Alligator mississippiensis: one gene and its partners. The protein of the gene in region 3 purifies or fractionates together with the protein of the main gene of each other region. This does not show direct contact. Links are inferred from orthologs where the notes say so. Each region holds a gene or a part of one and is shown on either strand. Other genes may lie near its edges.

Evidence for each region.
Region 1: the proteins of TMEM43 (region 3) and CUL4B purify together in Homo sapiens (affinity purification with mass spectrometry; 3 studies listed by BioGRID and IntAct, counting the BioPlex papers as one, with this or other methods). This does not show direct contact. The link is inferred for Alligator mississippiensis from reciprocal best matches to the Homo sapiens genes TMEM43 and CUL4B.
Region 2: the proteins of TMEM43 (region 3) and BZW2 purify together in Homo sapiens (affinity purification with mass spectrometry; 3 studies listed by BioGRID and IntAct, counting the BioPlex papers as one, with this or other methods). This does not show direct contact. The link is inferred for Alligator mississippiensis from reciprocal best matches to the Homo sapiens genes TMEM43 and BZW2.
Region 4: the proteins of TMEM43 (region 3) and SAAL1 purify together in Homo sapiens (affinity purification with mass spectrometry; 3 studies listed by BioGRID and IntAct, with this or other methods). This does not show direct contact. The link is inferred for Alligator mississippiensis from reciprocal best matches to the Homo sapiens genes TMEM43 and SAAL1.

The regions. Positions count from the first base shown.
Region 1 is NC_081831.1:72,376,448-72,383,695, reverse strand, and holds the start of CUL4B (cullin-4B), read right to left. Parts: upstream 3,016-7,248; 5' UTR 2,927-3,015; coding exon 2,914-2,926; intron 2,102-2,913; coding exon 1,574-2,101; intron 1-1,573.
Region 2 is NC_081828.1:163,897,618-163,905,029, forward strand, and holds the start of BZW2 (eIF5-mimic protein 1), read right to left. Parts: upstream 3,021-7,412; 5' UTR 3,006-3,020; coding exon 2,932-3,005; intron 2,869-2,931; exon of another isoform or gene 2,585-2,868; coding exon of another isoform or gene 2,541-2,584; intron 1-2,540. UniProt on the Homo sapiens protein: Translation initiation regulator which represses non-AUG initiated translation and repeat-associated non-AUG (RAN) initiated translation by acting as a competitive inhibitor of eukaryotic translation initiation factor 5 (EIF5) function.
Region 3 is NC_081835.1:16,920,341-16,927,481, forward strand, and holds the start of TMEM43 (transmembrane protein 43), read right to left. Parts: upstream 3,017-7,141; 5' UTR 2,918-3,016; coding exon 2,906-2,917; intron 2,499-2,905; coding exon 2,349-2,498; intron 929-2,348; coding exon 794-928; intron 1-793. Other genes in the region: CHCHD4 (mitochondrial intermembrane space import and assembly protein 40), read left to right, coding at 3,347-3,368. UniProt on the Homo sapiens protein: May have an important role in maintaining nuclear envelope structure by organizing protein complexes at the inner nuclear membrane. Required for retaining emerin at the inner nuclear membrane.
Region 4 is NC_081825.1:191,297,141-191,304,109, reverse strand, and holds the start of SAAL1 (protein SAAL1), read right to left. Parts: upstream 3,015-6,969; 5' UTR 2,984-3,014; coding exon 2,735-2,983; intron 1,967-2,734; coding exon 1,853-1,966; intron 1-1,852. UniProt on the Homo sapiens protein: Plays a role in promoting the proliferation of synovial fibroblasts in response to pro-inflammatory stimuli.

The DNA of each region.
Region 1 (7,248 bases), on a different chromosome or scaffold from region 3:
CTTAACAGTCAATTGGAAAAAGGTATTGTTTTAAAAAAAGAAATCAAACATTACTAGCATCTCAGATAAGGTCAAACTTACTTCCTCAACATGAAAGGCTGAAGAAGGGCAGTCACAAAACTGATACATTTTATATATACTAGTTTGCCAGGTGGGAGCCAACATGGCAGTTCATAATAGGCAACTAAAATCCACAGCAATTAAAAAAAGTTGTAAAAAGCCACTGCCTAAATTTCACTACTTTAGATAAGAAAGCCATGGTTGAAAGTCAGTTTCTCAGGATCATGCCTTAATCTAATATTCTGAGTCTGCAAGTGAATAAGGAATGCATGTGGCAGTAGGGTAAGTGGAAGAACACTTCCTCATGTCACTGGGAAAACCAGCGTTACAATCTAATCCATGTATGTTGTAGGGTATCTATAACAAGCCCCATATAAATTGGGGCTCGTTATAGATACCTTACAACATACTGGAACAGTGGAGTTACCAGACTCCCCCCTCCCTGCCTCAAATACCAATAAAATACTAGCATTACTTAGGATTAAAAAAAAAAAAAGTTATGTAAATCAGTATTTTTCAACATGAATAAAGGAAATGGAATAGGGAAGGAAGCTTCTGAATTAGTGCAAAGTGTCAGAGAGAAGCAGCGAAGAGAACTACATGAACCCTGGATTTGCCCAAGTTTTGACATAAATAACAGACAGCAGCTCAAAAGCTATGCATGTTCCCTGCCTACTCCAGGAAGTAAACCATAAAGTAGCTATTAAACGGAGTAGCTCAGGTTCAAGCAACATGGTATCCAAAGCTTTGGTATCTGCTCAGTCACAACACTTCCTGGCCTCATTCAACAACCCAAACTCATGCAGGAAGATCAGCAGGTACCCCCCCCCCTTTTTTTTTGGGGGGGGGGGAGGAGGCAGAATAAAGAGGGGGAAAAATGGAAAAGGAAAGAAAAGAAAAAAGAGTCAAGATAGGTGAAGAAGAGAAGACATAAAAGTAATGGGTCACAGATAATGCCAGGAAAATGTGTAGCAGGATGCTCAGCGTCAATCCACAAAGTGCTCAAGCATTAAATATCAATAATCATTTTAAAATCTAAATTAATTTCAAACTTAACAAATGGAAAGACACCAGGCAGAAGAGGCTATTTTCAAGTGGCTACCCTGTGCTATGAGCTATTAGATGACCTGGACTAAATTACTGTTGTGACTTGAGTCAGGATTACTTCAAAGGCAATATCAAATACGGCCATTCTGAATAAAGGCAATTAAAAAACAACCTCACACCAGAAGACGTTTCTTAAATGCCCACAACAAAGTCTGTCCTTCACAGGTACACTGAGAGCGTCCAAAAAACAATCCTAAGTGACATAAATCTCCAAGTGCGTATGCAGTGTCATAAATCCCATACTATAAAAAAAGATGACTTTCCCCTTTTTCTACACGCGCTCGGGGGGTCACCACCAAAGAATATTTCCAGTAGAACTTATACCTATTTACAAGCCCAGTGGATAGCTGTCATATAGACATAAAATACAAGCAGTGTGTCAACTCTTCACATTATGGCCTGTTACCTTTAAAGTTCTTGATCACTAACTTCTTGGCAGAGCCAGGTTTACTATTGGCGAAACTGGAAACAGTAGAGGAGGCAGCTTTGGTCAGACCATTCGCATGGTGCCCAACGGCCACTGAAGAAATTAAAAGGCTTTTATTTTTGAGCTGCTGCTGGTGCTGCTGCTGAGAAGAGGCGGCGGGAGAAGAGGAAGAGGAAGACTCTTCAGCCATCTTCACATCGAGTCCAATAAAATCCAAGGAGTCCTCAAAGCGCAGCTTCTTCTGTAGGTGATGGTTGGTGGAGGCACCCCCTGAGGAGGAGCAGGAAGAGGTGGTGATGATGGAGGAAGATGAGGATGAGGAGCTGTTTTTGGAAGGAGAGGAGGAGCAGGAGGAAAGGGAATCAAACTCTTCTCTCTCCGAGTTGTTGCTGCTGCTGTTTAACTTTCTCTTCTTGCAGGAGGAGGAGGAGCTGCTGCTGCTGCTACTACCATCAGTGGCAGGTCTGACCTCCTGAGCTGCTGCTGGGGGGTTGGGGGAAGAGAAACCTGTGGGAAACATGAACACACAGAGGTGAGCAGGCTGAGGGGCATCAAATCCTGGTGGTAGGACAGACCAAGAGAGAGAGTCCGAGTCCGTTTCGGGGCTGCCGGATCAAGAGTCTCTCAGCTCCTCTCTCTCTCTCTCCCCCGGGATGTCGGGTCGTCCGGTCTCCCGTCTCGTCGGCTTCCTTCCTTCTCAGGGGAGCCCCTGACGGCCTCTCGCCCCCTTCCCCCTGCTCCTTTGTCTCCGCTCAGTAGTCGCTGGCAGCCTCCTGCCCCCACTCCTCTCGCAGGGCCTCGCTCTCCCCGTCTCTCTCCGCCCGCTAGCGCCTCCCAACCCTCCTGTCCAGGCCCAGCCTCAGCCGTCGCGGGGGGCTCCTAACTGCTGCCCTCTCCGCCTCCGTCTCCTGCCCCTTTCTCCGCAGGGAAGGCGCCCGTGGACGCTGCCGGCTGCCCCCCGCCCCAGCCGGCGCTCTCCAGCCTGCTCTCGCCTCTCTCCCTCCTCCCCCCTCTCTGCCTCCTGCTCTGTCCGGGAGGGGGGACCGGATCGGGACTTGTTATTGTCAATACAAGGCAGAGAGGGGCCCTAAAGATGGCGGCACATCCGGCCGCGGGGCATGCCGGGACACCGCGGCCCGGAAGCGCTCCCCCACCCGGAGCGGCGGCGGCGGCGGAGGGCTCGCCTGCCCCAGCTCGGGCCAGGAGAAGCGCAGCAGCCGCCCTCCCGCCCGCTCCCCACCCCCCGCGGGGCCCCGCGCCGCCCGGCCCCGCTCGCCGCCGCCTCCTGCGGCCCCCCCTTCCGCTCCCCTCTGACCCACCGGAAGTGATCATGGTGCCGGCGGCTCGCGCCGGGCGCCGGGACGGCTCGTTGTGCCCCGCGCTGCGGCGTGCGCACGTCGGGCGGTGGGGGGCGTGGCCACGGCCCCTCCGCGTGTGGGGGCGGGGCTTGGGGCGGCTCCGGGTTGAGCCCCGCGGGTTTCCGTAGCCAGGGAGGGGTGGGTCTCCCTGGAGGGGGCGGGGCGCCCGGTGTTGCCTCCCTGGCACGAGCAGAGCCGCGCTGTTGGACGCAGCTGCTTAGTGCGGCGCGACAGGCACCCTGGGGTTTCTTTTTTATTTATTTTTTTAAATTTAATTTGTAGCCGAGGCCAAATTAGCCAAAACTAATTCCAACTCCATGAGTCCAGACCCATAAGTGGCCCTGCGCCTGGCAAATATCCTCCACCCGCACCTGGGGCTTCCGATGTTTCCAAAAGCTTTGGCGGGCGTCCCACGTGCGGGCCCGTTGGGGTCCGGATGCCCCCGAGCTCTGCTTGCCCTCAGCCGTAAGGCCCTGGGAGCAAGCGAGAGAGGAGCCGGAGCCTGAGCCTCCTCCTGGGTTTGCTGCCAGCGCTTTCTTATGAAAGAAAGAAGCACTTCAGCTTGGGTGACCCTGGTCTCGCTCGCTCGCTCGCTCGCTGGAGTTACGGCTGAGCAACGTCAAGTAAAACTTGTGTGCCTATTTTTTTTTTTTTTTAGCATGCAATTATTTTTCAGCAAATACAGTAATTTGGTGCTTCCAATACGACCGCTTCCTATTTAAGCCGGGGCAGCGCTGTTGCAGCCCTTCCACGCGCCGCCTCGTTTATGGCGGAGCGCGGCGGTGGTGGTTTAACCCTGCACGTCGCAGAGGCGGAAGGTGGGGGGCTGCCCTCGTGTAGGTGAGCTCAGCACCCTGGGTGTCTAGAGCAGTGTTTCCCAACCTTTTCCAGCTCAAGGCACGCTTATATTAATAAAACTTTCCCGTGGAACACCTGTTAAGGCATTCCCTATCCTTACATCTATTGTGGCTTGTTGCCGTGGCAACAGCCTGTGGCACACCTGTTCGTTTCTGACGGCACACTTTTGTGCCGCGGCCCGCTGGTTGGGAAACACTGGTTTAGAGAGACGGGGAGCATAAGCTGCCTGAGCCCAAGTTCATGGGCATCTGCTCACCTTGAGGTCAGGACAGCAGGTGCTCTCCTGTCTACAGACGTCTCAGAGGAGCAGGACTGCCTGCCTTCTGCCTGATGCCAGGCTAACACAGCGACCTGCTCTCTCTGCCCCTGCCTGTCTTCCAGCAGTGGTGCCCCGCCTTCCCCCCCCTTGGGCTGGATGGCTGGGGCTCAGGCCATGGGCTGGATCCAGCCTGTGAGCCCGATACAGCATGTGGGCCCGCTCTTGGCCTGGCTCCCAATCCAGCCACAGGGAGGGAGTGTGGGGGGCCCCACAGGCCGGATGCCCCAGCTCCATGGGCTGCGTTTGGCCCGTAGGCTGGAGGTTGAGCACCCTGTTTTACGTGCTTTAAGACTGATATACCTCTTGCACCTGTTGTCCCCCAGAGACTAGATTTCTGGGGTCCTCGGTTTGTTCTTTCATCATTAGCCTGCTCGCTCCTTCAAAAAGAAACTAATGCACAGAAACTAGTGAGTTATTTAAACGGGGATGTTGAACCTGCTCTGAAACCCTGACTGAAGTCTGGAACGTGCTTCCTTCTTGGAAGGGAAGAGTTTTTGTTTTCCCCTAGCAAATATCAGCTAGGTTATTTTTGAGAGGTTTGCAATATTTGCATTAGGCTGAAACTGAGCAAACATTAGTCAAAATAAGACTGGCTTTTTTGGAGTTCTGAATCGGAACGGTTTGTGTCGGGAGGAGGGGAATTATAGATCCCTTTTAAACACCTTTTTGTGACGCTTGTGTATTTTTATCATCACAAAAAGAATCGCACAAGTACGCTGTTCCGCTTCAATAAGGACTCACAGTTATCTATGGGCAAAGGAACAAAACAAGCTGTTGGCGTTATTGAAGTCGGTTGGTGCAGGAATTCTCAAAGGACTGCTGATGGGAGCTTCCACCTGCCTTTTTGACAGCAGAGCTCTTTCAGGGGAGATTGCTGGCAGCTGTATCTTGATAGGAAACCCTGTGTTAACTTGTCTTGACAGAAATTGTGGCTCATAGAGACATAAAGTCATTTTACTGAAGCTTTTTTTGGAATATGTTTTCTGTTTGAGCAATAGCGAGGGCTCTTGAGACATGACACTGAACTGCACTGATGTGCAGAAAAATAACTTATGAATGCTTTCTCCAGGTGCAGTGTATTTTCAATTTTGTTCTCTGCTGAATTTAGAACAGGATGAGTGGATGAATGCAAAATTACAAGTAATGTAATAAGAACGGTAAAGTGTATTTGCTTGTATTATCCTTAATCTTTTTTAGTTTAATAGCTCAGCCTTCATCAGTTTGCATTTCAGTGTTTTGCTTCTCTTCAAGTTCTCTAAAGGTTTTAAATCATTTATAATTTAGAATCTGATCCTGGGAGTTAAGAGTGCAAAAGTTGTTTGGTAGAGGGCCTCTACTCCTTATATTAATCACTATTCCTAGCTGTACATTTTTTTAGTATTTGAATAAATGATGATATTTATAAAACTTTCATTATGTTAAGTATTAGTTTCTAGTTATTTTTACAGTGTTACAATTATCTAAGTCATTGTGCTTGGAAAAATGGCATGAATGATCGTTCAATCCTGTATTTTTCACTGAAATTAGTGTAAAACTCCCACTGGCTTTAGTAGAAAAGAGATTTCTACACACATACATTTTCTTTCTCTAGCAATTAGCTCTATGAAGATAAAACTTATGCATGTCTTTTCTATTCAAACCAGATAAAATAATATATCAATTAGATCCATCTTTATCCAGTCTATGGCTTGATACTGCATTAACCATTAATAAATGCTATAAAACATAATTATCTTCACCAGAACCCATTCCCCCTTCTGGCAGCTGGATCTTCCTGGGAGGTCATAGATGATCCGCTCCTCCTCCACCTGCCAGGATCCTGCAGGGAAGTCCGGGATACCCTTCTCTCACCTGTGGCACCAAGATCTCTTCCTCTGCCCGGCTCCCTATCTGGGTCAGCACCCGCTTTCCGAGAAACGGATCTTTTTTCGCCAGGTAGCAGACAGGGCATTGGTCTGGGGTTAGAAATTTGGGAAAAGAGAGCTTGTGTTTTGACTATATTTGAGGACAGTTGTGTCTTTTCTCCCTGTTTCAGGATTTATTGTTCAACACAGATTAGTAATTATTACCCCTTTTATTTCTTTTTGAAGGACTATTTTTTTTTGAAAGTGGAATAACACGCAAGAAAGCAGTGCTGTGTCTGCAACTAACAAACGAGCAATGTTTCTGAGAACATAATAAAGGTATTGTTGTACCATAGCCGTAACATTTCATCCGAGGTAATTGCTAAATACAGTAACACTGGGTCACTTTCCAGTCCAGTCCTCATCTGTTTTCAGATGTTAGCAAAGAGTAAGTAAAAAAAAAACCACCAAGAGAACTCTGTATATACCTTATTTGATACATGATTACAAACAATAAAATAGGATTCATTTAATGTTTGAATGATAAGTAAATTTGAAAAATGACTTAAAATTTAAACTAAAGATGGTTCTTGAGAGACTCGGATATATTATACCAGGACAAAATCTGGTCCCTGCCAGAACATATGACTTGCCATATTAGATCAGACTAGCGGTTCATTTATTGACATTAAGTTGCTTTAGAGAAAATGATGCGATTTAGTACAGTTATGGATTTAACCTGCTTACAGGGACTCTTTCATCCTAACTCCTCTCCTGTAGAAGTTATTTAGTCCTTGTAGAATTTAAAATTTTTTTTTTGCTATTGTAACCATATCTTGATCTGTATAAATGTCAAGGTCATTTGAAGCTCTTGGCTTCTATGATACCTCATGGTAATGCGTTCCATGGACAAATAGTATATTGTATTAAAAATATTTTTATCCATTTTAAGTCTTCTCACTTCAGAGTCCAGGGGATGACTCCTTGTCTTTGTATTACGAGAGAGAATGAATGAATGGTTTGATTTAGTACTCTCATATTAATAATTACTTAGTATCACTGTCTCTTATTTTTCTCCTCTAAAGTAAACAGCCTCCATCTTATCTAGTGGTATATTTTTAACATATGTTGGGGCAGCACGCAGAGCCTCAGTTAAAAAATAATCATGCAGCATTAATTTAGGGCAAAGTTTCCTTTTGGAAAAGGAAAATCTAAGAATAATACCTTACTTAATAGAGCTATTCCCTGTGTGTATTCAGGTTGTACCTTGCTGGC
Region 2 (7,412 bases), on a different chromosome or scaffold from region 3:
AGGAAACAAGGGTCCGAGCTCATGTGGACACATACATAGACTTTGCTGGATTAAGCAAACTGGCTGTCTTGATGCATCACAGAACAGGAAATACCCCTCACCCTATACCATGGGTAGGGAGGGGAAAAACTAAGGGGTGATGTTATCTCCCCACTTTCTCTATTTATCCAGACCCATCTCCAATGATAAATTGGTAACAAGTCTGGCCAAGCAGGGAAAATCCTATTTTCCCCACTCAGACAGACCTGTGCCCCACATGTGGCTGGGTGAAGAAGTCAGACTTCCTTGCAAATGGAGAGGTACCCCAAGATTCCCCAGGGTGCCCCTTTGTAAGCAAGGAAAGCAGGCAAGTGCTCTGAGAGTTTCAGGGCCCCTCAAGCCTCCAGAGCACCTGCCTGGAGTGGTAGAAGAATGCAAGCAGCTCAGGCTGACTGTCCCACTCCACCACAAAGGTAAGCTATCCACCACAATTAAGTGGCAGTCTATTACTACCTTTTGCTACACCACTGATTTTCCTTTCATGTGGTACCACAACAGGTTTAGGTGTCTATTTTCTCAGCACATGCACCACCATAACCAACCACACATGAGACTTAGGATCACATTTGTTTCCAGCCTTGGGTGCACCTCTACCTCGCTTTCTGCCTGACTTCAGACTAACTTGGCTAACTACTACTCATTCCATAGAGAAAGCATACATTTTTAATCATTTGGTTGTTTAAAAGTCTAACAGCTATCAAAGTATGTTACATGATCAGTAAAGTAGTTAACATTTAAAGGAATATAATGTTCAATAATTTACAGGTAGGAGAGATCATCATCAGCAATCTAGTTTCACAGACAAAATGATAAAACATTCTGTTGCATCATACAAGACAGTGAAGCCAATGAACAACTACTTATTTTCCACTTTTTACTTGCTGTGCAAGTATAAGATATTTTCCTGGTACAGTAAAAGTTCAAGAAAGGCACTGCTGGGCTAACTATAAAAGGGAAGCCTTTTCTGCTTTAATCAGAAGAGTATTCAGCCTTTTTACTGACACTTCAGAAGCAGAGGTCAATTTGTCCCATCTTGAAAGAGGGTTTCATACAATATCTTGAAGAGATTTCTGGAGAGGTACTTTCAACAAGAGGTAATGGGACAGCACTAAAAGATATGTGCACTTGATTTAAGAATGTTCAAGACACCAAACAAAAAATCAGTTGCTTTATCTACAATAAAAGAGTATAACAGGAAGTGCTACTCATCTGATAACTGTCTTGGGAGGTAGATCTCCATAATTCTGTGTTGTGGTTAGCAAAGTAATATGTCACTGCAACCTAACTCTAACCTTTCCAGTATCCTAAGGGATAGTGCATAATGTGTCTGTTTTCTTTCCTTTTTCCTCTATTCACATTTTTCCTTTTTCCCCCATTCCTGTCTCTGAGAATCATCACTGAAGTACCCACTAAAGCAGAGATTCTCAGCCTTTTTTGGATACAAGCCACCCCTCAGACTCAAGGAAAATGCTAGCTCTTGGCTTTCACTTGGTTTTTTTTTTTACTATGAAAAAAATAAAAAATAGAACAATTCTTCTGTTGCAAAGAACAACAGGTCAAAATGTTTCTGACACTATGGATTCTTGTTCAAAATCCGAGTTTATCTTGTGAACTGTGTGTGCAACTAACAGTGCAAGACTGTGCATCGTCCTTAAAAAGATTTCACAGCACAGCACCTGTAGCACTGGCTGAGTATCATTGCCCTAAAGATCCTAGGTGGTACATGTATGAAGGTGTAGGTGTACCTCAGTCTGAATAACATAACATAATAGAGGCAATAAAAAAAGAAAACAGATCAGTAACTACCCAGATAAGAATATCTTGTATACCTTAAACTCAAATGGGATCTAGCAGCTGACTTCAAAAATTCTGTAACTTGTCTCTCCTATTCTATAAAAGTGTTTTAGCCATACTAGATCAAAGATTTAAGCATTAAAAAGGTGTTTTGACTCTTATGGCCAGGGGACCTTTGTCAGCACCTCAAGGAAAATGCCATTTGAACAAGCACTGCGGAAAAAGCAGTAACTTTATTTAAGGTGGATTATTGTTTTAAGAGGTTTTTTCTGAAACGGTTTTTATTTTAAAGCAAAGCTGATTGATCACTAATTTCCCCAGAGAAAACGGAATTGCAGAGTCTGAGCCCAACTAATTTTTGCTGAAGTGATCAGGGTTGAGACACAGGAGACTGTTACCTAGCACCTGATCAGAAAGTTAGAAAATCTTACAGTTCCTTTTTGAAACAAAAGCTATGGCTTGAAACCTAACAAGAAGGGGCCCTCAGACCAGGAAAGTCAAAGGTAGTGAACTGGGATTACAGGTTCTGGGTTGAGGACTAGAGCTATTACCCAGATTACAGGTAACGTTGTGGGTTAACTAATGATAAGAGACAGAAACAGATCTGCAGCCGGACCTTTAATTTTCTTGCACTTCAAAACACAAAAACAAACATTTAACCCAAAGTCCACCTGGCCACCCCATGACAGCACAACGTAGATTCTCACCTATACAGGCTGAGGAGACTTGAGTGGTGGGAGGAAGGTAGCATGGCAGCAGGTCTTCATGAATTCGCCAAGTTCTCCAAATTTCCCTCCAGCCTATACCCAGTATTTCTAGATGACTGGTTCTAATATTCTAATAAATGATCTCTGATCAATTTCATTTAAATTTTTGCTTCTCTGAAACTTTTGGACCTGGACTGAACCAGTTCTCTTGTGGACTTGGAAGATGTCAATTAGTTTGTATTTACATCCTTGGAAAAATAAAAGGGAAGGTATAGTGGCTTGTTACTGTTCACAGAGCAGTTTTATTTTCTCTGGGCCAAACATGTCCCCACAGGAAGCAACATAAACCATAAAACAAACAACTGCATAAGCAATAAACAGTTAAATCAACCTCTGTGGTCCTTCCCAGACCCTGAGAAGGCAATTCCAGCTCTGAGCTGCCTCCACAGAACTGCAGTCTTCCATATCCTTTGACTCTCCTCCATGGAAGCTTTTAACTTCTTCTAGGGCCAGCCAATCATCCCTATCAGCTGGTCTAGTCCTCCTAGGCAGGCAGGTGATCCCCTTCTAAACACCTGCAGCTGGGCTACAGACCATGAGCCATGTACCCTGTTACAGAGGGTTTCTTATCCCTTTTTCTTCCCTCTTGTTCAACACTGGCCTGTTTCTTCTTTAGTTTATGGTCTTCAACAAAGCTGTTTTGTTTTTACAGATTTGCTAAGCATCTTACCAAAAAGATATCTATTACAACAAAATAACATCTAATACATTTGGTTACATCAATCACCACTACAAATATTTTAAAATAAAGCTATTATATAGTATATCTGGATTATTTAATGTATGGTCTTCCCTTATGTCGCCTTTCAGGCCTTGTGCTTTGTTTAACTGTAATCTCATTAGTGAGTTAGACAGTTATGCTGAGGGCTTCCTTTATCCTACTGGCCTAACTAGTTGTTACATCTGCAAAGGTTCAAGCTACAGTCACTCAGAAAAAAGTTTTGAGGCTTTCTGCTTAGCCACACTTCTGCAGTCTGGCCTAGGCCCCTTGAAAATGGCCAAAGCTGGCAGCAGCTGCCAAGCACCACAGTAATACAAACAAGTGGCACATGTTGCAGTTGCATTAGAATTGTGACAGTTGACAATTTTAACTAACGATAGCAAGTACTGAAGTAGGAAAAAAGCAAAAAGGTAATATATGTGTCACATTATTTAAAAAGGGAAAGAACAGGAAAAGTTAGGGAAGATTATTCTAAAGAAACTGAGGAATAGGGAAGAGAGGAAGGAGGGAAACCAGCTAATAGAGTTTTGCAGAGCAAGGCAGCTAAAAACTCAAGTGCTAACAAAAAGATACTTAGTTCATCTACTGATACTCTGAGCACCAGAAAAATAATTATGTTTGGGGGAGTTTAGAAGATCGCTTAGAATGACTGCTACCAGAGGTTGAGGGAGACAGAGTCTGGAGCAGACTAGGGGAGATCTCAGGAACATCCTCAAAGGGGAGCAAGAAAATAAAACAACAGCAACCAGGTCCCATCCACACTAAGTCCCTTTCAGCAACAGCTAGCACTGAAAAGGCTGCAGATAAAGAAAGAAAAAAAAAAGCAGTTTCAAAGAGATATGCTGCACTTGTTTGTGGGCTGCAAGTTATTTTATCTCCAAAGTGAGTGTTAGAGTGAACGGAGTCAGCATCAGTTTGGGAGAGAGAAAATCCACATCATTACTACATTGATGTGATTGGAAGGGGCACAGCATCTACCCAGGCTTTCACAGGGACAATTTTGAATGTTCAGCCACCTAGGGAAGGCAATGGGCACGGCTGTGTTTTTAAGTGCTTCTGAGATGAGTTATGAATTAAACTCCTACCCTAGGAGGTGTAGGAATGCATTTCATTTCCTAACTGTGACACTATTTCTAAATATTAACTGGAATTTAAGCAGATATCTGTTATAAGTGAACCCAGGTTCACTTAAAGTAAGGCAACCAAACAGCCACGGACATGTCTGGCATGAATCTATGGAATGAGGAAGAAAGTAATGGAAAAGTAACTTTCAGCAATGAACAATATAAATTGCCAATTATTGATCTCAATTTTGAGATGTACTCTGTCAATCGGTTCATAAGTCTTTTTCAGAAAGCCAGGATCACCCACACCTTAGGCCTCAATAAGCATTAACAGTTCTACTGTATCATTGTTTCTGGGGTCGTCATATTAACATCAAGTTTTAGAAGTGGCATTTTAAAATTCCAACCTAGCAAAGAATCTTGCTTATGCCGAAGACCTAGTATTTCTGAAGTTTGTAGCTCTCATAAGGCCCTATTTAGCATTCTTGTGTCCTTCAGGCAGTTTGTTCATTACTCTAAAATAGGAGATTGCCCAAAACAAGGCAAAGGACCACATACTACAGAAGATAAAATCCACAGTCCAAACAAACACAGCACCATCAGAATCGGGAAAACCTGGGGACCTGAACAAAACCTTGTCATTGCTCAATTTCACGCTGCATCAGCTGATACACAAGTTTCTAAAAGTTCAAATACCACATCCAGAAAACCAGATTAATAAAAGCAAAATCTGAAGAGATTTCACAAATTATTCCCTTGCAGTATGGCACAAGTAAGGAAAACTTAAAAAAAAAACAAACCCCAAAACCTTTAAAAATCCAAGTTCTTATTCTATGTGGTTTTAACTGTTTAAAGAAATTGAAGCTTATTAGAAGCTTCTCTATTTCTAGCAGTTAAGCAAGGATTTTTGAACAGTGTAACCCTGAGAGACAAAGAGAGAGAGAGAGACCTGTTTGGAAAAAATATATATATTCCCAATAATAAAGCTGCCAAGAAGAGTGAGGAAACATTTATAAAAGGAAATGAGCCAAATCAAGTGTAGCAGGTATTTTATGTAATCCATTCTTGCTTTGTTGCCAGAGTTTATCTTGGTAACTAAAACCACCAAATAAGGCCTACCATACTCATTATCTTTGCCATTCTCTGAAGAATACCCTACATGACTTCTTTGCCCCAGACTGTTTTCTCTACATGACCTCTCTATCCCTTAATCTTAATTCTCTCTAACCAGAGATAATCCACCCTAACAGCCTGCTTGGAGATAGTTATTTTTGTCTGTTAGCATGACTAATCAATAATTAGAATACACCTGTATTTCCATGACTCCAGCACAGGGGCAGGCAATTATTTTGGGCAGAGGGCCGCTTACCCAGTGTTAGCAAGCTGTTGAGGACCACATGGGTAGCCCCACCCCTTGATTACCATCTTGGGACCAATGTCCCAGGGCCAGGTGGGGCCCAGAGCAGGGCAGGGGCTGTGGAGCCAGGCTAGGCTGCACCAGCAGGAAGAAGGGGGAGCTGGCCCGGCTCCATGGAGCCCCTGCTGGCTAGGACCCTGTACTCTTGCCGCCCTGCTCTGGGTCCTGCTGGCTCTGGGACACTGGTGTGGGCCCCACACTTCTGCACCCGCTCACTCCCAGTGCCCCCCACCATGGTACAGGCTGGGGGCAGCGCACAGCCCTGACCCCCTGCTCGCCGGCAGGGAAGGAGCTGGTGCGGAGCACAGGAAGAAGCAGCCCCTTCCCTGCCCCGTGGCAGGCGCTTCCTGCTGCAGCCGCTCACAGCTCATGTGGGGCTGTCCTGAGCAGGCATGCTCAGCACCAACTTGTAACCCGCCCCTGAAAATTAAAATGAATCTGTCCTTGGTTCCTGTCAAAAATGACAGGAACCAGGGTCAGTAGGAGCCAGGGGAATCCTTGGTGGGCTCAGCAGCAGCTTGTAACCCACCCTTGCTGCCAACCTGGGCCCCGTGCTGGCTCCAGGCTCGCCCATCAGGGCTGTGCACGGTGGCAGCAGCTGCAGCCCCCACCACTTGCCATGCCAGGCAGTGTTTGCTGCTGCCGCTGCCCACCCAGAGCTTGCACGCAGGGCAACACAGAGGCGGCAGTGGCAGGCTCACTGCAGCGCAAGCTCCAGGCAGGCAGCAGCAGCAAACACTGTCTGGAGCAGCAAGCAAGGGGGCCGCAGCAGCTGCCGCCATGCACAACCCTGATGGGTGAGCCTGGAGCCGGCACGGGGCCCAGGGTGACAGCAGGGACGGGTTACAAGCTGCTGCTGAGCCCACCAAGGATTCCCCTGGGTCCTACTGACCCTGGTTCCTTTCATTTTTGACAGGAACCAAGGACAGGTTAATTTTAATTTTCAAAAATTTCTTTGGGGCCCCGCAGGCCGGATAGAATGGACTTGCAAGCCAAATTTGGCCTGCGGGCCATATTTTGCCCACCTCTGCTCCAGCACCTGACAGAGATAATAGTGCAAGGGACCCATTCTGCCTGCAGAATTCTGGACTAAGTCCATGTATAAAATATGCAAGCAATTTATTCTATTACTGCCATTTCTAAATACGAGGGAAGTGTTTTTATTGGACCAACTGCATACCTGGGAGAGAGATTAAAAGAAAATTTTTGAGCACTAAGGGCTCCTATACACATGCAGGGAACCTGGTGCGACATGCCAAAAATCCAGTGCACCAGAGCAGACTTGGTTAATCGAGTCTGCTGTAGCCTGGAAATTAACGCGCTCCAGCAGACTGTAGCATCACATGCATCAGCGTCCCTGCACTGAAAAATGGCGGTGGGCTGCTTTGATCTATAGGTTGTTTGATGAGCTTTAGTTCAAAGTGCTCCGCCATCATTTTTCAGCACAGGGACACTGATACATGTGACACTTGGGCACTTTTAATTGGTGCAGCTCACTGATTAAAGCGCCCTCCCCATGCCTCCTGAAGCATGTGTAAAAATGCCCTAAGTGCCCTTTGTCTGGCAACTTGAGGCCCAATAAAGATACCACCAAAAATAAAAATAAAAAG
Region 3 (7,141 bases):
AAATGTTTTCACTTCAAAATGTTAAAAAAGAAAAAAAGAACAAAACTCTCAAGACCCAAAGTAAATTTTAAAAAGTGGGGTAATGAAACAATGCATTAGAAACAGTATAATTCTGCACTACTGCTGTGTATCTTTTTTCAGAGGATTTTTAAGAACTCTATTTATGTTAATTATACTTTCCAAAGCCACGTGAATAAAAGGAAATGTGCACATTGGGTGGATAATCAAATTTCACTCTGGTACAAATGATAAATTCCATGAAGTGACTGATATACCAGCAATGGATGCAGTATAAAAAGTCTTGGCACAGGAGGGAGTGCATGCTATCTATTTAGAGCAGTGATAAATTTGGCCTGAAGAAAGTGAGACAAGCCTGTGGAAAGGCAGGCAACATAACCAGGTGTCCTGGCTCACTGTCCCTTACTCAAAGCATTCAACCATGCTTGAACAGATTTAAAATGAACCCTTTGTCTTCTCTGCTGGCCATTATTTCATCATGACATGCCTTGGAAAAAGAACTAACCACAACATAATTATATCTGATCTAACAAGAAGATGTGCAGCTTCCACATCAGATCCTCAAGTCTTTGCATCTTTTTGAATGCAATGACAAGTCCCAAAATCTCTACAGTACAGATGTGAGGAAGAATTGAAAACATCAACATACTCAGGTAGGGCATGTTTAGATTCCAAAGTATTTCTGCATATCAAGTATGCCTGGTTTTAACTGGCAGAAGAGCTTTCCATTCCCTCAACTTATGCACTAATTTTTGGCCACTATTATTTTACTTGCCTTTGATGTTGCAAGGGCACCAGACAAATGCACTAGTTTCCCCTCATTTTGTTGAGACACGGTGCGTATGTTGTCAAGAGGAATTACAAGAGACAAGCCCTCATCAAGAGAGGTGGCTGTCTTCAAAGCTCGTCCCTGCAGTCAATTAAAAGAGAATACAATGAAAAAAAAACGAGGAAGAATCTTGAATTAACGAATGAACCAACCAGAAGACTGTGTCACAAATTCCACAAAATGCTAGCATGATCAGGCACATGGCATGAAACATCTGTACTTATTTGTTGTTTCAATCTTAATGCCCGATTTTTACTTGAAAGAACAATACTTCTTCATGCAACTAAACCACTAAAGTTAATGTACATACTCACCAGCACAATATTCCTACCATGATACCCTAAAATTATTTTCTTCCTTTTGACCTTAGTCACTAATGATAGTATGGATGCTACTATGGCGTTATTTTACCATACAATTATTCTGACTGGTTGATAATATTCCCTTCCTTAACTTCAGGTTATTGCTCTTTATGCTACACACTTCTGTTTGAGATAGCAAAAATTCTTTTTCTTCATTTATGTAGGTAGCATGCTAGAAGCTTTTTGTTTTCTGGGTGAAGCTCTGAAATTTCACCAAATTCTGTCTCCACTCCAAGATTTCCAGTCAGATCAGATTAAAAATACTTTCAGGATAAAGGAAAGCCTTAATCCTGCAAACTCTTATGCACATACTTAAGGTTTGCTAGCACAAGTAGCTCATTTAATTCTGGGAGATGTATTACAGGTAGTGGAGCTGAGGGCCTGAGTATTTGCAGAATCAGAACTAAAATTAGCCTCAAATTAAAACAAACAGTTTGAAACTAGAGTATTAAATAACCTGTAGTATAGCTAATTACTCAGTTTTGTGGAGATTAAACTAGCTTTACACACTTACACTATAGTTCAGATAAGTTCTAACAGTTTTCTGAGCAAGCATGGGAAAGATGGGAATGTAAAAATAAGGTTTTAGGAATATGGTTGCTTACTTACTTGTGGCTACTATTTGTTTTGACACAAGCAAAGCAAGTCAACTAGAGTATGAAATCTATAGCCTCCCCTATGCAATAGTACAACAGAATCATTAACTCCCTTTGTTGTACAAAAGGGGGAAGCGACTTACACGAGAGGCACTTGCACACAGAAGGCATGTGCAAATCCATGTAATGCTCTTCAGTTCCACTTGCCACCTAATATTTATTCATTCTTCCCTGTACTCCACTGCTTACTCTGGATGTTCCCGTCACGTCCCTTCATATTCAGTTCTCAAAAACTCTCATAAACAGCTCTCCTATCCAATATCCTACTCCTCTATTATGTCCCCAACTCAGCCAGTGATAGGATTCAGGCTCTTCCCATATGTTCCACCTTTCTCACACATGAATTAATAACAAAGCTTAGAGGACAGCCCAAATGCTTTGCAGTTTGACATTACAAACACTCAGGTAAGAAAGAATTTGACTGGAAGTGCCATAGACTCGAGACATACAGGAAAACATTGGCTTGACATGCAATTCACATACCTCATTGGTAAAAAGCACGTAGAAAGAAAGGGAAAACGACACAAACCCAATCAGCATCCCCCCAGATGTCTCACTGAGCCGCTCCAGGAACCCTGGTTTGGGCTCACTGGTAATTTTAACATGTTCTTTTCTGCTGCTTGCGTCAGAGACCTGTTAATGGAAAACAAAAATGAAATGTTAGAGACAGCAAACTGGCACGTATGCATGGAAGGATCTATCAAGAAACACGTAGGAAATTTCTAATGATTATCAGTATAACGTGATATATTATATTCCTACCACCACAAAACCACTTGGGGACGGATCAGACCTTTAGTTTAAAATGCACCCACTGGTTTAGATTCTCTCTGTTAACTGCTGCCTTACCTTGTTTTCATTAATTTTTTAATGACCCTGCTGCTCTGCTTTCTGCTCCCTGCCCTGTGCCCCCAGCCTGATCTGCTGCCCCTCCTACGCCTAGCTGCTCCCAACCCTGACCTGCCGCTCTGCTTTCTGCTCCCAGCATCGCCCCCAGGACAGGCGGACACGCGGGGCCCTCGGCGCGGGGCAGCACTTACGTTCCGCGACATCCTCACGGGTGCGGGCACTGCACGATGGCGCGGGGCATGCCGGGAGTTGTAGTTTCGCAGCCGCGAGGCACGCCGGGAGTCAGGCGGGCCGCCGCGAGGCGTGCCGGGAAAGCGAATCCTGGCGCGGGCGGGGAAGGAGAAGCGCGGCCTATGCAAAGCATGCCGGGAGGGGTCATTTGCAGCCGAGGGTGGCCACGAAGGTGCCTGCGCTTAGCTGCCGGCTGAACTCCTCCGAAGCGGCCCTCAGCAGGCAGAAGCAGGGTGCTGGGTGCTCCCCAGGGTGTCCCCGCAGCACCTCGTGCTCCCCCTTTCGCTGCTTGCCAGCAGGCAGTGCGGAGACAGCCTAGGGGCCTTCCTCTCGCAGCGTGGAGACCGGGCGGACGGGGCACCGGTGGGGTCAGTCAGCGCCGGGCGCGCGAGTCCCTCACCATGTCCTACTGCCGGCAGGAAGGTGCGTCCCGGTGGGGGGAGGGCGCCGGGGGGCAGCCTCGTTCCCGTCCGCGCTCTCGCGGTCCTTCGTGGAGCGTTACATGTAACGTGTGTCCTGGCCCGGCTGTGCGCGCAAGGGCGCTGTGAGCCGTGCCGCCGGCTCGGACGGAGAGAGCTCGAGGAGGCGCGGTGCCTTTATCGCTGGTGGCTGCTCAGGCCTAGCTTGCCCGCCTAGCAGGGCGCTGCGACTGCGCTAGAGGGCACGCCCGAGCTGTGCGCTGGGAACCGCGCTATAAATGTAGACCGGCCACACGTGCAAAGTAAGACTGGCTCTGAGCACCAAGTAATGATCGCACCATTAATAGGTAAATCACGCTATAAATGTAGCCCGGACACATGTACAAAATAAGACTAGCCCCAAGCGCCAAGTAGTCATCACACCATTAATAGGTGAATTGCGCTATAAATGCAGACCAGCCCCACGCAGAAAGTAAGACTGCCCACGCCACAAGTGCTTAGTAATTATTGTACAATTTAATTGGTGACTCGCACAATGAGTTTAGACCAGCCATGCTGGCAAAATAACTATCGCTCAATTAACTAGTGATAGTAAAGGGAAGAAATTCCGCTGATACATAGTCTTGAACCATCTTAATTCTTGAACCATCTTAATTCTTTATTTGTAGTGTTTGCATCTTCAGATCCCTGCTCCTCAGTGATGTGAGCTTTGTCCTCGGGTCACAGCAGGGTGTTGTGAGCTCTAGAGGCTGAACCTCAGCTCTAGTTCCATAGGTAGCTAAACTATAAAAATAAATCATTTTTACAGTTTTGACAAGTAACAGTTAAGACTGCTGAAAAGTATCATAGATTAATTACCATATAGGGAAGATAGTTGCTAAAAAAAGACAGTTGTCCCTTGAAGGGCACTGATTCCTCTAGATGACCTTGACAGTAGCAAGCATGCTGAGGTTAATCAAATGGATGTTTTACTGCAAAAATTATGCTCCCTCCCAACTTGTGTGGTGTTCTTAGCTTCTTTGTTCTGGTTTGTGTAACTTGTCTGTTGTGATGTGGGAACATGGCTGCAACCAATTAGATATGTTATGGGACTTATATAAGCTTTCTCCTGCAGAGGACTATTGGACAAGATAAATAATGTGATGTGATACATCAGTTAACTTGTAAGAAATGTTAGGTGTGTTTTGGGAAGGTGGGGTTTTGCATTCTAAACTACGCTATGTTACCTAACTTTTTGAAAGAGACTTCAGAAAAAATCAACAACTTTTTTTTTTTTTATGTGAAAGTTCAGCCATTAAAATCTGGTTCTTTTCCCTTGAGTAGAGTTCCCTTGGTAGGTGTGATCAGCAATAGATGTTTTTAAGGAGCACATGCTCTTTTTAATATGACTTCAACCTTTATAGTTTCATAGTTGGTAGGGTCGGAAGGGACCTGAGGAGATCATCTAGTCCGACCCCCTGCTGTGGCAGGAAAGAGTACTGGGGTCAAATGACCCCAGCAAGGTGTTCGTCTAGCCTCCTTTTAAAGACCCCCAGGGTAGGAGCCAGCACCACTTCTCTTGGAAGTTGGTTCCAGGTCCTAGCCACCCTGACAGTGAAATAGCACCTCCTAATGTCTAGCCTGAAACTACCCTCCGCTAGCTTGTGTCTGTTGTTTCTTGTAACTCCTGGGATTGCTTGGGGGGAACAGGGACTCTCCCAATGCCTGCTGGTCCCCCTTGACTAGTCCCCCCTCAGCCTTCTCTTTTGGAGGCTGAACAGGTTCAGGTCCCTCAGCCTCTCCTCATAGGGCCTGCCGTGCTGCCCCCTGATCATGCGGGTGGCCCTCCTCTGGACCCTCTCCACATCCCTCCTGAAGTGCGGCGCCCAGAACTGGACGCAGAACTCTAGCTGCGGCCTGACCAGTGCTGCATAGAGGGGGAGGATCACCTCCTTGGACCTGCTTGAGATGCATCTGTGGATGTACGACAGGGTATGGTTGGCCTTCCTGACCGTGTCCCCACACTGTCGGCCCATGTTCATTGAGGCATCAGTGATGACTCCGAGATCCTTTTCTGTCTCAACACTGGCGAGAAGGGAGGTAAAATTCACCTTAAGTTGACTGAAGTAAATACACTTGAAATTTTAAAAAATTTTTAGCTATCTTAACTAGCGGTTCATTGATAAAGATTTTTTTTTGGCTCATACCAATAGCCAATTATTAACCAGCCATATTGGCCGATACTGATCCAATAGTCAATGTGCAGCCTGGCTGTTAAGCCTGTGCTGGAGGGGGGAGGGGGAGGAGCAGGCAGATTGACGCCCCCACGATGAGGGAGGAAGTGGGGCTGGGGCAGGCATTGCCCAGCTGGGGCAGGGCAGGGCATGGGGTGGAGCTGCAGGCAGCTTTTCCGGGGGAGGGAGCGGCTCCCCAAAACTGTGCACTGTTTGGGGTGGCATGGGGGGCATGTGCCCCCTGCATTTGTGGGCTGGGCGAGGGCAGGCTGCGAGGTCGGGGCCAAGGGCTTCGCTGGCCACTTCCCAGCAGGAGTGCTGGGCCAGGGCTGCGCTCAGGGCAGGCGAGGGTGGGAGTGGGGGCGGGATGGGCTCAGCTGCACAGGGCGGGCAGCAGCACTGGAAGAGGTGGCATTGGGGCCACGGAGCTATGGCCACCCCAAAGTTCTCCGTCGCCACCCCTTCCGCCACCACTGCTGCCCACCTTGCGCAACTGAGCCTGCCCTGAGTACAGCTCTGGCTCAGCCTCCTGCTGGGAAGAGGTCAGAGCAGCCCCTGGCCCTGAGCCTGCAGCGGGCAGCCCACCCTCACCTTGTACACAAATCTGTGGGGCACAGGCCCCACATGCTTCCCCCAGGGGTGCATGCAGCAGCAGGGAGCTGCCCCCCAGTCCCCCCAGCAAGCTGCCCATGGCCCTGCCCTGTGCCCCACCATGCCCAAGCCCCACTCCCTCCCTCACTGTGGGGGCCTCAGTCTGTCCCCCCCCGACACATGCACCCCTTTTCCCCCTACAGACTTACAAGCCGGATGCTGCTCTCCACGCTACCCGGCTGCATTCCTGGCCATGTGCAGACTGCAGCTGTGCACACGCACACAGCATTTATCGGTGACATTATCAGATACACGGACCAAAAAAGCTGGTGTAGCCAATTGCCAGTAATGTAAATTTTCCTTTTATCGGTGCCGATTTGATATGGACTGATATATTGGTGCACCTCTAATCTTAATGTATCCTAGGTGAAATTGTGCCTGTGTGCATCATCAGTTAAACTTGTTTTCTTTGCCTTTACTGTTGATCTGCACAAATACTGTTTTTCTCTGTTTATGAATCCAAAATTGTCTTATTTGAAAAAAACCCCAAATTCTCTCATTAAATACTCAAAATCCACGTTTCTTTCACAATTAATATGAAACAGCACTCTGTGTGTGTGTGTGTGTGTGTTGAAAACAATGTTTCATTGATATATTTACAGTTTTAAAGCAATTTGGAAGCCCACCAATGCCTCAGTTGTTATTATAATAAAATACATTCTAAATACCTATATATTAGGGCTTTTGATTTTGGTTTTTTTATCATGGAAAATCAGAGCTCCACTGCCAGGACATGGGTCCAACTGAGGCTATCCCGTCTCCATCCTGCCCCGAGCAGCCCCGATATGCCAGTGCCCTGCCCATTCTGTTGCCCCTCACTCCCAAGCCACAGCACCCCCCTTCCCCCCCCCCCCCGACCTGCTGGTGACCCTCACTCCCGACCTGCAGCCCCCTGGTCCTGCCGGTATCCTTC
Region 4 (6,969 bases), on a different chromosome or scaffold from region 3:
TGCTCTTCTCTTTTAAAATATATTTTTCACACATTTATCAAACCTTTCCCATGGAAAATCAGGCCAAGTCAAGAAGTTGTCAGATTCACTGCAACAGCCAAACTGCCTGCCAATTCTCATTGGGCTGTCAAGAACAGTCAATAATAGAAGGAAATGTGTTCACTGATGTGATGCTCCTTACTACACCATCCTTATCCATCTTTGTGGAATTTCATTCATTGATTAACACCTTACACAAGTCATCAATATTCTGTTTGGTCCACTACTGATTTTTTCATTTTTCTTGGGGCAAAAGCACTAAGTAGTAAGAATTCAACCAATGCCATTTTCTTCAACCATGCCATAACATTCAGGCAGATAAAAAGGTAAATAAGGAAAGAGATTTTCTATTAGGACTTAACCAGAGAGGCCAGAAAAGAACGTAGTAGAAATCTTCTCTTCCTTTTTCCACCTCATTAAACCAGAAAATTAATTCCCTATTTGGAAGTAAAGGATTCATCTTCCAAGTTGTTTATTTAGAAACATCTAAACAAAGAGAGCATTTTTTTCTTTATTCAAGAATTTGCTAACATTTCGGTTCTTGGAAACTTTAGGTATCACAAAATAAAAAAAAAAAAAGTCTTATTAGACTACATAGGCATGGTTTATTCATCAACCATAATACAATTTAATAGCAACAAGCATTGTCGTTAACTATAGATTAGTATGATATTAAAAAGGGTAGAAATGTAATCACTAGAGATTAAAAAGCTGAAATTGTAAACAACCATTATACAGTTCTAAGATAAACAAAAGAATTAATTTCCATATTAGTTGACATATGAAGTCTAATAAGTCATATGAAAATACAGAGGCTTCCAATATGGTGTCATTTATCCCAGAGAATTCTGAACCAATGAGCACCAGATGGCAGATCCTGTTCCATAAACAGTCCAAGAGCCCTGTTCCCTACCTACACAGACACAGAGCTCTGTTCCCTACCTTCAAAAAACAACTCGGTACCAGCAACTGACATCAAACTGAAGACTCTTGTACATGACCTAGCGATTAGTTTAGAGTGCCAGAAAAATTCTTGCTATTTTCATCCTAGTCTTTAAAGTATACATGGCGACATCATTAATCTTTTTCATGTCAAATTACTACCTGCTTTAGGGTGTCAGGAGACTGTCACCTAGAACAGAGAAGGAGCAATGACATCCAAATTGGATGGCTGGCTGAGAATCCTTGATTCTGACTCCTCTACCCTAGAGATGTCAAAGATATGGTCCACCAAGCCATCCCATCTCACCCACTGGGCTACTGGAAATAATGAGGGGGTGCGCAGGGGACAGGGCCTGCTGCAAAATGAGGGGGGGGGGGGAAGCAGCACAAGGGCTGTGCAGCAAAGGCCACAGCTGCCAGTAGTCTGCAGATCCAGATCAGGAGGAGCCCAACAGTCTGGAGGCAGTCAGGTGCCCAGAGTGAGTTTGACACCCCTGTTCCACACTACAAGGCTACTGCTGCTCTAACTACAGCAGCAGAGTCACATTAGCGAACTCCCCAGGACAGATGCAGCTCTGTTGCCAGAAGAGTAACAGCTCTCTGAACAACAAAAGCCTTCTTTTGCTAGCACAGCTGCCTCCAAACTAGGTATTTCACTGGCACAGCTACATCCACTACAACGTATGATTTTTTTTCCATATGACATACAGTATGTTGGCAGAATTTTACAATGTAAACAAGACCTAATATTACCAACCCTCTTTCAGAACCATTTAAATTAAGAACATTAAGCAAAAGGCCAAAATTGCAAAAAAATTCTTAATTATACAGTTACTTTCAACATTTCGCTAAGTAAGACTGCTTCACATACCTCATCCATGGACATATCCCACACTTTACATATGTCATTCTCCATTTCTTCCTCTAGCTCTGTCTGTATCTCCTCATTGCTCAAGTTCAAGTCATTCTTTTCAGGGCTAATAACCTATGAAGTACAGAAGAGAAAATGAGGCTAGAATTACTGAGCTACAGCGAAGAAATGCAAGGAGTTAGAACAAGTTACAGTTTTAGTTAGGAAAAAAAAAAAAAGTGACTAAACATATTCTTCTCAAGCACTCACAAAACTCACAGAAGCATTCAGTACTTTTGAATCACTCCCTGCTTTGCCAAAAGAGGCTTGCTTTACAAGATCAGCAGGCCTTTCATCTCATCCTGCCTCGCTTTCCCCCGCTGAACAGGTTTAATAAGTAGGATCCTCTGCTGATCAGCTTCTTCTTGACAGGAGGTATTACCACAATGGTTCTCAAGTTTTTTAGACTCAAGGCACCTCCTGGACAAAACCAGCTCTTAGTTATCACTGGTTGACTATGGAAAACTACTAGGGCAGCGATTCTCAATTGTTTTCGCCTCAAGGTGCCTCCCTTACCCCCCAACTTTTATCAAAGGAGTGCTGCCCCACGTCATGAACCAACTGATTCGTCAGGGGGACTTAACTCCTTGCAGAGGGGCTCTGAGGACACAACTGGAACCTAGTGCTCCAGGTATGTTCAACTGGACAGCTGGCAGGGAATGCTTGATCCCAAGTCCTCTAACTCAAGGATATCAAAGATACAGTCCACAAAGCCATCCCATCTGGAGTTAAAGCCATGCCAGCTGTAGCTAAACTCCTGAAGTTCAGCCTCCCAGTGGGCTAGCCCCAATATCTCCCTACACCCAGAACCTGAGCCCGCCCTTATGGGCCTATCATCCTCACCCTTCCTGGTGCGCCCTTCGCAGGACCCCAGGGTCCGCAGAGGACACCCCCCACATCCTTTCCCAGTTGAGAGCCACTGAGATAGAACCTTTCACAGCCCCCTCGTGGCAGCGCCCTTCCCGGCTGGAATCCTCGGGGGTTCCACTGAGACTCTGGCCCCGCCCCGCCCCCGTCACTGCTGCACCGCGCACCGAGCCCCCGCGCGCAGGCAGGTCTCCCTCGGTCACTGCCGGGTGCGCGCATGCGCATCTCGCACCGAACGCCCCGGCCTGAGGAAGCCCCCCGCACGCACCTCGATGAGCTTGGTGAGGACGCTGAAGAGCCAGTGCTTACTGTACACGGTGTCCCCCACGGCGTCGCCCGAGGCCTCCTCATCCTCCGCCTCGCTGGACGGCGGCGTCGGGTTCCGGTCCATGCTCAGGCCGGGCCCCGCTGCACACGCAGCACGGGGCTGCAGAGGCAGCGAGCGAGCAAGAGCGGCCGCCGGAGGCCCAGCCACGCCGCACAACGCCCCCTACCGCCCGCGGCCTGACACACCTCTCCACTCTTAGTGTGACTCCGCCCGCACACGTCACTGCCGGATGTGCGCATTCGCGCCAAGGCGCGGTCCCGGCAACCAGAGTCCAGGCCAGGTGTGCGCATGCGTACCTCGCGCCTCGAGTGGGGGCCAAGTGTGCGCATGCGCACACCGCACCGAACACGCTTACGGGGCAGGTCCCCTCCCGCCCGACTCAGGGCCGGGTGTGTGTATGCGCACCTCTCACCGAAGGTGGCCTGTGGCGTCCACCTAACCAGTCAGGGCTCGGTGCACGCATGCGCGTGTCGCACCAAACCCCGCGGTAAGGAGGGTTCCCCGCATCGAGTCAAGGCTAGAGGTACGCATGCGTACCTCGCACTGCTACCCCATCCACCTACTGATGCAGGTGCCCACCCCCAAGCGTCTCAACCTGTCCTTGACAAGGCGCTTGTCCCGCACGTGCTAGTCGTTGGGATGCAGACTGAGCTGCATCTGGGATCAGGGTGCTTGGGCGGAGGCAGTAAGGACATGCACCCAGCACGGTGGGGGGAAGGGCGAGTGGTTTGCAGGGCTCCCCGACATCTGTAGGCTGAAAAGAAAAAAAAGGGGAAAGGAAGAGCTGGCCTTTCCCTGAGAGGTGCCTCGTGTCTATAAGCATATATGTACGTATGCATATACAACCATGTATAAAATATATAATAAAGTGCAATATAATACAATTTATGTTGTCATAATTATATATATAGATATGTTATAAATATGTAATAATTATAATACAATATAATATAATTTAAATAGCCTGTCCCAGACAGCTGGGGCTTGCTGGCCAAAGGCAGTGGATGGGATCAGCTGTGCCACCACAGGTCTCTCGCAGCAGATCAGGACGTCAGAACTGCCCCCAGCCCCTAGGTCCATCTTGCCCAGCCTCTGGTGTTTGGCAGCTCTGGTGTGCTCTGCTCAATGGCACCCTCCTTTTGCACCTTGGACTTTTGCTCCCATCCCTGTTCCTTCTTTAGCTGACCCCCAGCCATGATCACTTGATGTGCTTTTAGCCCCCGCTCCCCCTCCCCTATATGAAGGGGGGCTTTCAGCTTTACTGGGTGGGTCCATCTTCCCAGTGCCCACCACATAGGCCTGCGTCACACAGGGATGGGAGTGAAACAACAAGGCTATCCACCACACACAGGGGCAGAGAGTGGATGCTAAAAAGGAGAGTGAGTTGGGGATGATCAAGGGTTTTTTTCCTACTGTTCCTCTCCCATTTGCAGCCTCTTTCAGCATTTCAGGTCTAGGCCGTTCAGATTTGCTTCATTGGGCAAAATGTGCATGGCCCCGCCTCCAACCTTTGATGATGTAGGACAAGTGGATGATTTAATCTCTCAGCTTTCCCTGCACAGGCGGCCCCGCTCCCTGAAGCGCAGGGGACAGGTCTGGCTGAGCAGGGGAAAGCGGGCTTTCAAGTTTAGGGAAGTGGTAAGGGCAAGAGACACCATATCGCCTGTAGACTTACTACCTGGTGACAGCTGCCAGGATGTGTGGGAGCGAATCTTCCACAAGGACCTGCAGAAGGAGTGCAGAGACCTGAACTGGCAGGCCACTCCCCATGCGGGCATGGAAAAACAGCGCAGGATAGAGAGGCCCATCGAACTGCCCAGGCCTGTGGCTGGCAGGCAGAAACAATCGACCACCTCTTCTGGGGCTGCCCATATAGCAGAGAAGTGTGCTCCTCCTGGTGGTGACAGGTTTAAAAAACCTGACCAGGGAAGTGGTTCTTTACAGGTACCTGACCAGACACCAAAGACAGCTCACTCCAACCAGTTCGTATCCTGCTTCAGGTATGCCCTGTGGAAAGCCAGGAACCTGCTCATAAACAGACACTCAGACCCCACAGTTGAGGACTGTATTAAAATGGGACTAAGTGAAATGTATTGGTACTGTAAAAAGACAGAAGAGGATGACAGGAAAGAAATAGCAGACCTCATCTGGTGGAGGGGTCTGGCATAGACTTTTTCAGGAGTAGACCCACTAAGGAGGGCAGTGGATGGGGGGTATAGGTATGGAGATGGGTGCATGGGCATGCAGTTACATGGTGTGAACTATGTAACAGGTTTTTAGTGTGCTTTGAGCTGCCAAGTGAACCACAGGGGCCACTTGGCAAAATGCTGGAGGTGGAGTTATATATCTTTATTTATTTATATATATAGCGAAATAAATATTTTTTTTGGGAAAAAAAAAAGGATTCCTCAGGGTGACTTTCTGTAAGGCGAAAGTGAGCAGCTGCTCCATAGGCTTGATAGACCTTGAAGCTCCCAGAGCCCCTGCCTGGGATGGCTGGAGAGTACATGCAGCTCAGGCTGCTCATACTCTGCTGTCACAGAGCTAATAGATGCCCATGGTGATAGTGGTAGTCTTATTGCCTTTTGTTGCACCACTAATTTTACTGTGATGTGGCATACCAAAAGGTGGCAACATCTATTTGCTCACAGTTTGTTTAGCAGTTAGGGGACCAGGTTTTGGGTAATCTAGGACAGGTTCCTGATCCCTGTCTTGACTTGTTGGCCTGATTTTAAGAATCAGCAGCTCATACTCAATTGTGGGCAGGGTGCAACATCCCTAATATGACCAATCACAACACATCCCGTTGATAACTTAGGGACCTTTATTGATACACAGCAGCAGCACATGACAAATTAGCAAGCAAGCGATAACTCCCTTTATACACTGTGCCCCAGGGATGCACGCAGGAAGACACACATCTGGCCAGCATGCAGTTATCTTCTGTGGGTCTCTTGCTTCAGTTTATGGTCATCTCTCCTGAAGGAAGTTACTGAGTAATGAACATACCCTCTCTTTGTTTCTCTCAAGTGTTATACCTTTAGTCCCTTCATTGTGCATCTACCTGGTACTCATTCATTGGTGGTCCAGTCTGACGTATCCTGTCCAGACAGTGAGGGTACTGTCAACATGCATTTCATGCACAAGGTGTCTGCTAAGCTGTGTGTAACAATGCGGAGTCTTAGGGTTGCTGTGATCTCCCCTAAGGCCTCCTTTACCATGCCAAGTTGACCCAAAGGGCACCCTCAATTCTCTCCTGCTGCATCTTTGATGAAAATATGTATATTAGGGAGACTGCCTTTCCGTCACCTTGGGCACAGTTTACTGTACGTTCGGAGCCCATGGACTCCTGGATCCCTGATGGGTCCTGCTTCAGAATAGATGTTATAACAGGTGTTTCGGGGCACCCTAGCCTTATGGGCTATGCGTGGCTCCAGCCATCCCTTTACCACACCCCAAGCCTCGCAGATGAAACAGACTTTCTTTGGTCTGGGCCCTGTTATAATTCGGCTCCCTGGTTTGCCTCGGGCTCTCCACCGCCCTGTCTCGCGCGGTGCCCTCACTGGCGCTTGGGGTAGGTGCACCCAGAATGCTGCGCCCTCTCTGGCACCAGAGTCCCCACACTGCTGTGGGTCCCCTAAGAGGCCTCCTCCTTCCCCTAATAGCCTCACCCAAACCACCAGTCTTAAACAGTAAACCAAAAACACAATCCCCTGGGCTATAACATCAACTCTAGCCACCCAGCTATAACCTTATTCCAGCCACCCCTGGGGTGTTCCATCCTTTACCCGTCTTGAGGCTGTACCTGCAGTCAGGTTTCTCCCCTCTGCTGGCTCTGGGAGAGTTCCTTCCCCCTTGGCTGCTGGCAAGGAACTCCACCTCT